Arabidopsis thaliana: one gene and its partner. The protein of the gene in region 2 purifies or fractionates together with the protein of the main gene of each other region. This does not show direct contact. Each region holds a gene or a part of one and is shown on either strand. Other genes may lie near its edges.

Evidence for each region. Proteins that work in one complex are often made in the same cells at the same time.
Region 1: the proteins of RPT3 (region 2) and RPN1A purify together in Arabidopsis thaliana (affinity purification with mass spectrometry; 2 studies listed by BioGRID, with this or other methods). This does not show direct contact.

What each region holds. Positions count from the first base shown.
Region 1 is NC_003071.7:8,857,143-8,860,895, forward strand, and holds the start of RPN1A (26S proteasome regulatory subunit S2 1A), read left to right. Parts: upstream 1-1,819; 5' UTR 1,820-2,068; coding exon 2,069-2,185; intron 2,186-2,505; coding exon 2,506-2,606; intron 2,607-2,745; coding exon 2,746-2,866; intron 2,867-2,944; coding exon 2,945-3,004; intron 3,005-3,103; coding exon 3,104-3,214; intron 3,215-3,417; coding exon 3,418-3,483; intron 3,484-3,565; coding exon 3,566-3,687; intron 3,688-3,753. Other genes in the region: GPRI1 (GBF's pro-rich region-interacting factor 1), read left to right, coding at 1-114, 225-380. UniProt on the Arabidopsis thaliana protein: Acts as a regulatory subunit of the 26 proteasome which is involved in the ATP-dependent degradation of ubiquitinated proteins. Required during embryogenesis. Required for optimal plant growth and stress responses. Required for innate immunity.
Region 2 is NC_003076.8:23,567,510-23,571,262, reverse strand, and holds the start of RPT3 (regulatory particle triple-A ATPase 3), read right to left. Parts: upstream 2,212-3,753; 5' UTR 2,109-2,211; coding exon 1,644-2,108; intron 1,539-1,643; coding exon 1,308-1,538; intron 1,226-1,307; coding exon 1,067-1,225; intron 967-1,066; coding exon 814-966; intron 689-813; coding exon 605-688; intron 282-604; coding exon 147-281; 3' UTR 1-146. Other genes in the region: AT5G58280 (AP2/B3-like transcriptional factor family protein), read right to left, coding at 2,593-2,781, 2,868-3,074, 3,170-3,329, 3,403-3,467, 3,548-3,646, 3,725-3,753. UniProt on the Arabidopsis thaliana protein: The 26S proteasome is involved in the ATP-dependent degradation of ubiquitinated proteins. The regulatory (or ATPase) complex confers ATP dependency and substrate specificity to the 26S complex.

The DNA.
Region 1 (3,753 bases), on a different chromosome or scaffold from region 2:
AGATTTAGAGCACCGCCAGTTGCCGGAATCCCGCATGCTCTGCCGCCGCATCACACGATGTACAAACCAAATCTTGGATTTGGTGGTGCTCGTCCTCCGGTAGACTTACATCCGGTAAGAATCTAATATAATGAATTGATTGTTGTCGAGTTTTGACTTTTCGCATTTGATTATGTAATTATGTATTTTTGACTTTTTGTGTATATATATTATAAATGGAACAGTCAAAAGAGAGCGTGGATGCAGCCATAGGAGATGTATTGACGAGGCCATGGCTGCCACTTCCGTTGGGATTAAATCCGCCGGCTGTTGACGGTGTTATGACAGAGCTTCACCGTCACGGTGTCTCTGAGGTTCCTCCGACCGCGTCTTGTGCCTGAAACGCACAAGATCCGTAGGCAAGCGAGAACCAAACAAAAATTCGACGACATGTCTTTCAATTATTGTACTTTTATTTTTCCAAGGGTTGTTTTTGTTTTGACCCTTGTTGTGTTAAGAGTTACTCTTTACTTAATCGTCCCATGTGACTAATAAGGAGACCCTTTTCATATGTATCTAGGGTGCTAAGTACACTCTAGCTCTATTAACGCAAATAAATTACCTATATTTTCTCTAACCATTGGTGATTTAGAACTTGATTGCTTATATAAAGTTTTTTTATAAAACATAACACAACAAATTTCCATATCAAATGATCATATGGAAATTGGAAGCGTTCAAAGCAAAGTCGCAAACGACGACCAATTGATTATAAAGAGGACAACCTCACGAGTATATATACACTTATAATTTATAAACATAACTTATACTTAAAAATACCAGCCGGTTATATATGGTGAAAAATGAGTAATGAAATTGTGTGTTTACCATGCATATATTACCGTATAAAAACGTATTGTTGGGATTGAGAGAACAATGGCATAAAATAATAATGAGGAGAGAGGGAGAGGACCACGAGATAAGAGGAGAAGGAAGTGCATGGAGGCAACGTAAAATCCAACGTAACGACCTCTTCTTTCTCCAATTGTGACCACTCTCTCTCTCTCTCTCTCGTCTCCTTCAAATTTGAATGGTCCCTCTCTCTTCATAATTGATAATTCATATACATGCGGATACTATTACTAGCATCTCATTTTCCACTCACACTTGTACACATATGCTTTTTATAAGTACGTATTTATAGGCAAAAGTAAATATATTCAAACCCTACATGCATGGTATTAAAATCCAATATAACCAAAATGAATACTCGGTTCAAATTCAAAAATTTAAAGGACTTTGGTCGAAGATAATGAAGACAAATCATTTTTTTTTGTTCTAACCGGACATTCCAAATCGAAATGCACACTAGTTTTTGGTGCCTACATCTACATTGGCTAACTTTTACTAAAATCATAGTGAAAATAACAAAAAACCATGGTCTCTATAAACTCTTTGGTGAAGATTTCAACTACTAAATTACCATGAGATAGATGGTCAAAAATTGTCAATATTGAATTTACAAGGATCATGAGATATTTCAACAATTTTACTAATGACCAGATCCAATGCAGTGAATTAGACGAAACTATGACTTCACTAGGTTGTGAAAGAAAAGCTTGTCTTGCAGTTTTGTCTGCGACCGGTCGAAAAGAGAATGAAAATATGTCGAAATCCTCTTCAAACGTGAAATAAATTAACTGTCATAAGGATAAATTATGTTTGTTCAACCATACAGAAATATGATGAATAAATAATTTTAGACATGTGGGCCCATGTAAGAAGAACTCACTAAATGAGCCCAATACGGTTAATGGGCTGTGACATTGAAAAAGAGGTTGTAATGGGCTGATTGATTCTATAGTGTAGAAATCTTGATCGAGGGGTTATCTTCTCCGATTCCAATATTTAGATTCTTCTTCATATATTATTGTGCTTTGATTAGAGAGTTGCAGAAGAGTTTTTTTTGTTTTAATTCCTGCAATCAGAGAGTTTTCGATAGCACAAGCACAAGCTTCTCGATTCGTTTGAGTGTTCAAATTTCAAGCTTTTTACAAGGGGTTCCTTAGATTGATCTGTTACTGTAGAGATGGCTCCAACTCAGGATCCCAACAGTGTCGGAGGCGGTGCGAAGAAAGATGAAGCTACCTTGAAGGTTCCGTCTAAGGATCCCAAGAAGAAGGACGAGAAAAAGGATGAGGATTTGGTAAAGTTTCTTCTTTCTCGGTTTTTTGATTTATCGAATCCTTTTTCGACATTGTGTGTCGTGTTTAGTATCTGGGTTCATCAGAAACGAATTAATTTCAAATCTGTAAGATCTGCAGTTAGGTTTTTAATTGGAGTCTCGATCGAGTTGAAGTAGGGGTGTTATAGAATTAGGGTTTTTAATCTGGCAAAGTGAGTGTTTTGTTCGTCATTAGACTAGCCGGATTAGAAAGTTGTTAACTTGTGATGTGAGGAAAGTTTTTTTTGTTTGTATATGGTCACTTTCTTAATGACTCGACTTACATTGGGTTGTGATTGTAGTCTGAAGAGGACTTGGAACTAAAGCAGAACCTTGAGCTCTATGTTGAGAGGGTTCAGGATCCTAATCCGGAATTGCAGAAGGCTGCCCTTGAGAGCATGAGGTAATTCTTGACTTGATCAGCTTCGGGTTTTCAGATTATTGCCACTGAAGCTTGTACAACTTATAAAGCTTTTTTTCTTTCTCTCTGCTCTTGGTGTACATGTTTATGTTTTTAATTAGAGTTTTATTTGGCTTTGTAGGCAGGAAATCCGAGCTTCAACAAGTTCCATGACTTCAGTTCCCAAACCACTAAAGTTTCTGCGTCCCCATTATGGAACTCTTAAAGCGTTTCATGAAACAATGGCTGATTCTGATCTCAAAGTATGTCATCATTGATTTCAAGTCATTAACAATTCTTATATTGGTATGGCTTAAAAATTACATTTGCTATGTTTGCAGAAGTACCTGTCCGATATCCTGTCTGTCCTGGCCCTTACCATGTCTGCAGATGGTGAAAGGGTATGCTTCTACTGACTTGGGCATACTTTGTATTCTGATTTGTATTTTTTAAGGCATACTTTGAACTGCTAATCACTTTCTTTTACAATATAATTCCAGGAAAGCTTAAGGTTTAGATTGATTGGAACAGAGGGTGACATTGGATCGTGGGGTCATGAATATGTCAGGAATTTAGCTGGAGAGATTGCACAAGAGTATACAAAGCGTCAGGTTAGAAATCAATTTTCGATTTTGTCTTTGGAAATTCAGTTTCTCGTCCTAGGACTTGTGCAGATATTCTAAGATTGTTGGAAGTTGTGTTTGGGTTTATCCTTCTGAATTCTGATGGTTGGAGTTTTGAGGAATGACTAAATGTGTCTTATTCAATGAGAAAGGTCACTGAGTCATATTTATCTACCTGTTCATTATCTCAGAGTGAGGAGGCCTCTATTGACGATTTAATGGAGCTTGTGCAACAAATTGTTGCTTTTCACATGAAGGTGAATTCCTAAACTAATAGGGCTTGAGATTAGCACCTCTGCGATTTATTTATTTCTAAACGATTTCATTTACTCCTTGCAGCATAATGCAGAAACCGAAGCTGTTGATCTTTTAATGGATGTTGAGGATCTTGATCTCTTACTTGAGCATGTAGACAAAACAAATTTCAAGAGGACATGCAACTATCTCACAAGTGCAGCTAGGTACTTTAAACATAGTCAATCCTATTTATTTTATTTTTCCTCACTCTTTGTTATTTGAACTGATCT
Region 2 (3,753 bases):
ACAAATGTGAACTCGAGTTACAGAAATTAGGAGATGCAACTTAGTTCTTAATTTAACTGCAAATTTGATTCCATGTCCTTAATAATTCTCAAAACACACTGGAATTTTAACAACAGCCATAATCTGGTTCCACTTCTGCTTTCTCTTCACTTGTAAAACTCAAAGTCCGTGTCTGGCTTCTTAACATTTGCGCGGTAGCCCTTCTCGAAATCCTTAGGTAGTATCACATATCTGTTCTTTCGCACCGCATGCATACCAGCTTCCTGGCAAATTGCTGCTATCTGCATTGTTCAACATAAAATCAAAATAGTGTCATTAATAACTATCATCATTACATGCAATCTTTTTAGGAACAATTCCCATGTACATGATAAAATCAAACCATATTACTGCCAACAATTGATTTCTCAACAATTCAGTTCAGGACAATGATTAACAAACGACTCAGCTAACATTCATACATAATGCTTGAAACAGTATGATTATGCTCAAGTGCATATTTTGAAGAACATCATTAGGTGGTGACCCAGAAACACTGGAGGATATATCATGGTAAAAGTAAACTATAGCGGGAAGAATAGAATGGTAAGCAAAATAAACTAACCTCAGCAGCGCTAATTTTATCAGGCCGTGAAACATAGTCTTCCAAGTCAACCTCATCGCTAAGGTTCATTTTGGAGGTGCATACCTACACAAGGAAAAACCAATCAATAAGACAGAAACTAAGATATCAGTCAAAACTTTCTTTTGAGAAAACATTTGGTTTCATATCTCTTTAACTAGTTATTTAAGTGCTTGTAGTAATTAACTTACCTGGAAAACAAGCCTCTTTTGACGTCTATCAGGAAGGGGGAACTCAATCTTACGATCAAGTCTTCCAGGACGTAAGAGAGCAGGATCTAGAGTGTCTGCCCTGTTTGTTGCCATTATGACCTTGACATTCACGGTCTGGTCAAATCCATCCATCTACATCGAATTCAACACAATAAGTTAAGGACACAACTAAAATCCATTATTCTACAACATAAGATCTGAATTACAACTAAAATTCATTATTTGTTCTCACCTGATTAAGAAGCTCCATGAGAATACGCTGAACTTCCCTATCGGCTCCTGTTTGAGCATCAAACCTAGCAGTAGCGATGGCATCTACCTCATCAATGAAGATGATAGCTGGAGCATTTTCCTTGGCAAGACGGAAGACATCACGAACCATACGAGGTCCCTGCAATTAAAAAACCAGTTAGTCACCAAATAGAATCGCTCAATAGGACCTAAACCTTCAATAAAGCTATGATTTTTAATACCTCGCCGAGATACTTTTGCACAAACTCGGATCCAACAACCCTAATGAAGGCAGCAGTTGTGTGATTGGCAACAGCCTTAGCCAACATAGTCTTTCCAGTACCAGGAGGTCCATAGAGCAAGACTCCACGAGGTGGGTCAATACCAATCTGTTTGTAAAGCTCGTGGTGGGTAAGAGGCAATTCAACAGCCTCACGAATTTCCTGTTTCTGAATATCGCATCCTCCAATATCCTACACAAAAAGATAAAGCACCACATAAGAAACCAAAGATCGTTTCAAAAACCCTAACTTTAATTCAGAAAACAGAGTCGAGATTTGGAAAAAAGGAAACATTACATTGTAGGAGACGTCAGGCTTCTCAGATTGGCTGAGAAGGGAGATGCTAGAATCAGCCTCCGGAGGCAAAACATCAACAAGGGCGTTGGAGTGACGGTGAAGAGCGACGGAAGCAGAAGGCTTTAAGAGTTCTCTATTGATTGTGCTGAGAATTCTGACATAGTAATTGGAGCCAGTAGTAGATCCGACGATGCCGTTGTTCTGATCTACCATCTCCATGAACTGACCTATCACCAAAGGCACGGATTGAATTCGTTTGACCTCTTCTTGTGCTCGTAACAGCTCTCGTTTGAGATTCTTTTGCTCGTCTTTCACATATTCTTCTTGGATATCGGTGAACTCTAGTTGTCGTTCAAGCGATTTGAGGCGGCCATAGAGATCTTCTTCGTCTGCGGTGGATAGATCCATCAAGGCCGGTGATGCTTTAGGGTCAAGAACCATCGATGCAACAGCCGCGGAAGCCATTCTTTGAGAGATCTTTGAGGGTGGGGGAAGAGAAAAGTGAGATTGCTATGAAATTAAATAGACTTTTGCGAACCGAGATATCTTTGGAGTAGAGGAAAAGAAATGTTAATTTGTGAGCCGACTCATCTAAATAAAAGGAAAATAGATTAAATGGGCCTTTTGTCATAGTAAGGCCCAGTTTTGATATTTAATAGCCCGTTTACTCTCTCCATTTTAATTTGTTTATTTTGTGACGGAGTTGGTCTAAATGGTATCATCAGAAGTATATAGCTCATCATCGCCTAGTAACCAAAACTGAGAGGAAACAATTTAAATTTCCGAACCAAAGCCGCTCATCAGAGTTTCAGTTCTACTTTCAAATTGAAAAAAACAAAGTTTACCTTGGGTTGATAAACTTACAAATATGCCATTAGTATTAGTAGTATTAGCAGCCCACTCAAAAACCAAAAAAATATATGGGGCATGTAGACAAAAGAAAGCTCTCTTATGCTTTCCTCTTCCTTAGTAACCTTACGGATGATCTCTTAGTGGCTCTTGAGCTGTGTTCCTCATCACCTGATTCTTCAACATCCTTATCTTCTTCTTCTTCTTCTTCTTCACTTGGCGTCGTTGCTCTGCCTCTCTTTCTGGCGCTTGTAAGATTAGCGTTCTCATTTCCTTTAAACACATAGATCTGCACCAAGCAAACATTTTATAATCAACATGTGAGAATGTCAACTAACTCCAACCACATGACTCTTGTTCAAGACACATACATACCTTGAACTTCTTTGGTTCAACCAATTCAAAGAGTAGAGCATCACCATCATCCAATTTATGATCAAGAGCAAACCTTTTCCAACCACCACTGAGTCCAGCTCTTCTACCAATGTACACTGCTTCATACACTTCGCCTTCTTCATCCTCTAGTTCTATTTCCATAGTTTCCTCAGGAAAATTGTCTGCACAGAATCTTGAAGGAAGCCCCTTGAAATTTGCAAGCAAACCCATGTAGGTCAAGTAAGGTACTAACACGAAATCCTTGAAGAAGAAACACACACAAGTGTTGTGAACGAACGTACCAGCCAAAAGCAACTGTAAACATGGGAGCGAACCATAGATTTCACAAAGTAAGGATGTGGAGATTTAAGGCTCCTCTGGAACTTCTCTGCAGCCTTGAATGCTCCAACCTTTTCTTCATAAGATGCAAACTTGCACTCATGGAGAGGTCGAGAAATGTAGCTGATGAATTTTAACTAATTGATCAGATGAAAGGATAGTTTTTTAGGGCAAAATTGTGGAGCAGGGCACTTACGTCGCCCATGTAGAGCTATGTCGCGATCTCCTCAGATTCGAAGTACGACCAGTGTCTACGACGACCTGAAAAGAGACAAGGGATTGGGTTGATTGATTGCTGTGAAAAATCTATTACAGAAGTAAGAGAAAGCTGGGAAAATTACATCATCGCGATAGGAAGAAATTACGGTACGAACACGGGAAGAGCGTCTTGGTTCAGCAGTAGCTAAGAGGGCTTTATCGATGGGTTTGTGATTACGCTGCTGAAGAAGCTGAAATTGTGGTAAAGCTACAAAATTGGACTAGGAATGAAGCAGAAATGGAAGGAAAAAACACGAAACCTGAGGCGTTTTCTTTGTAATCTGAGTCA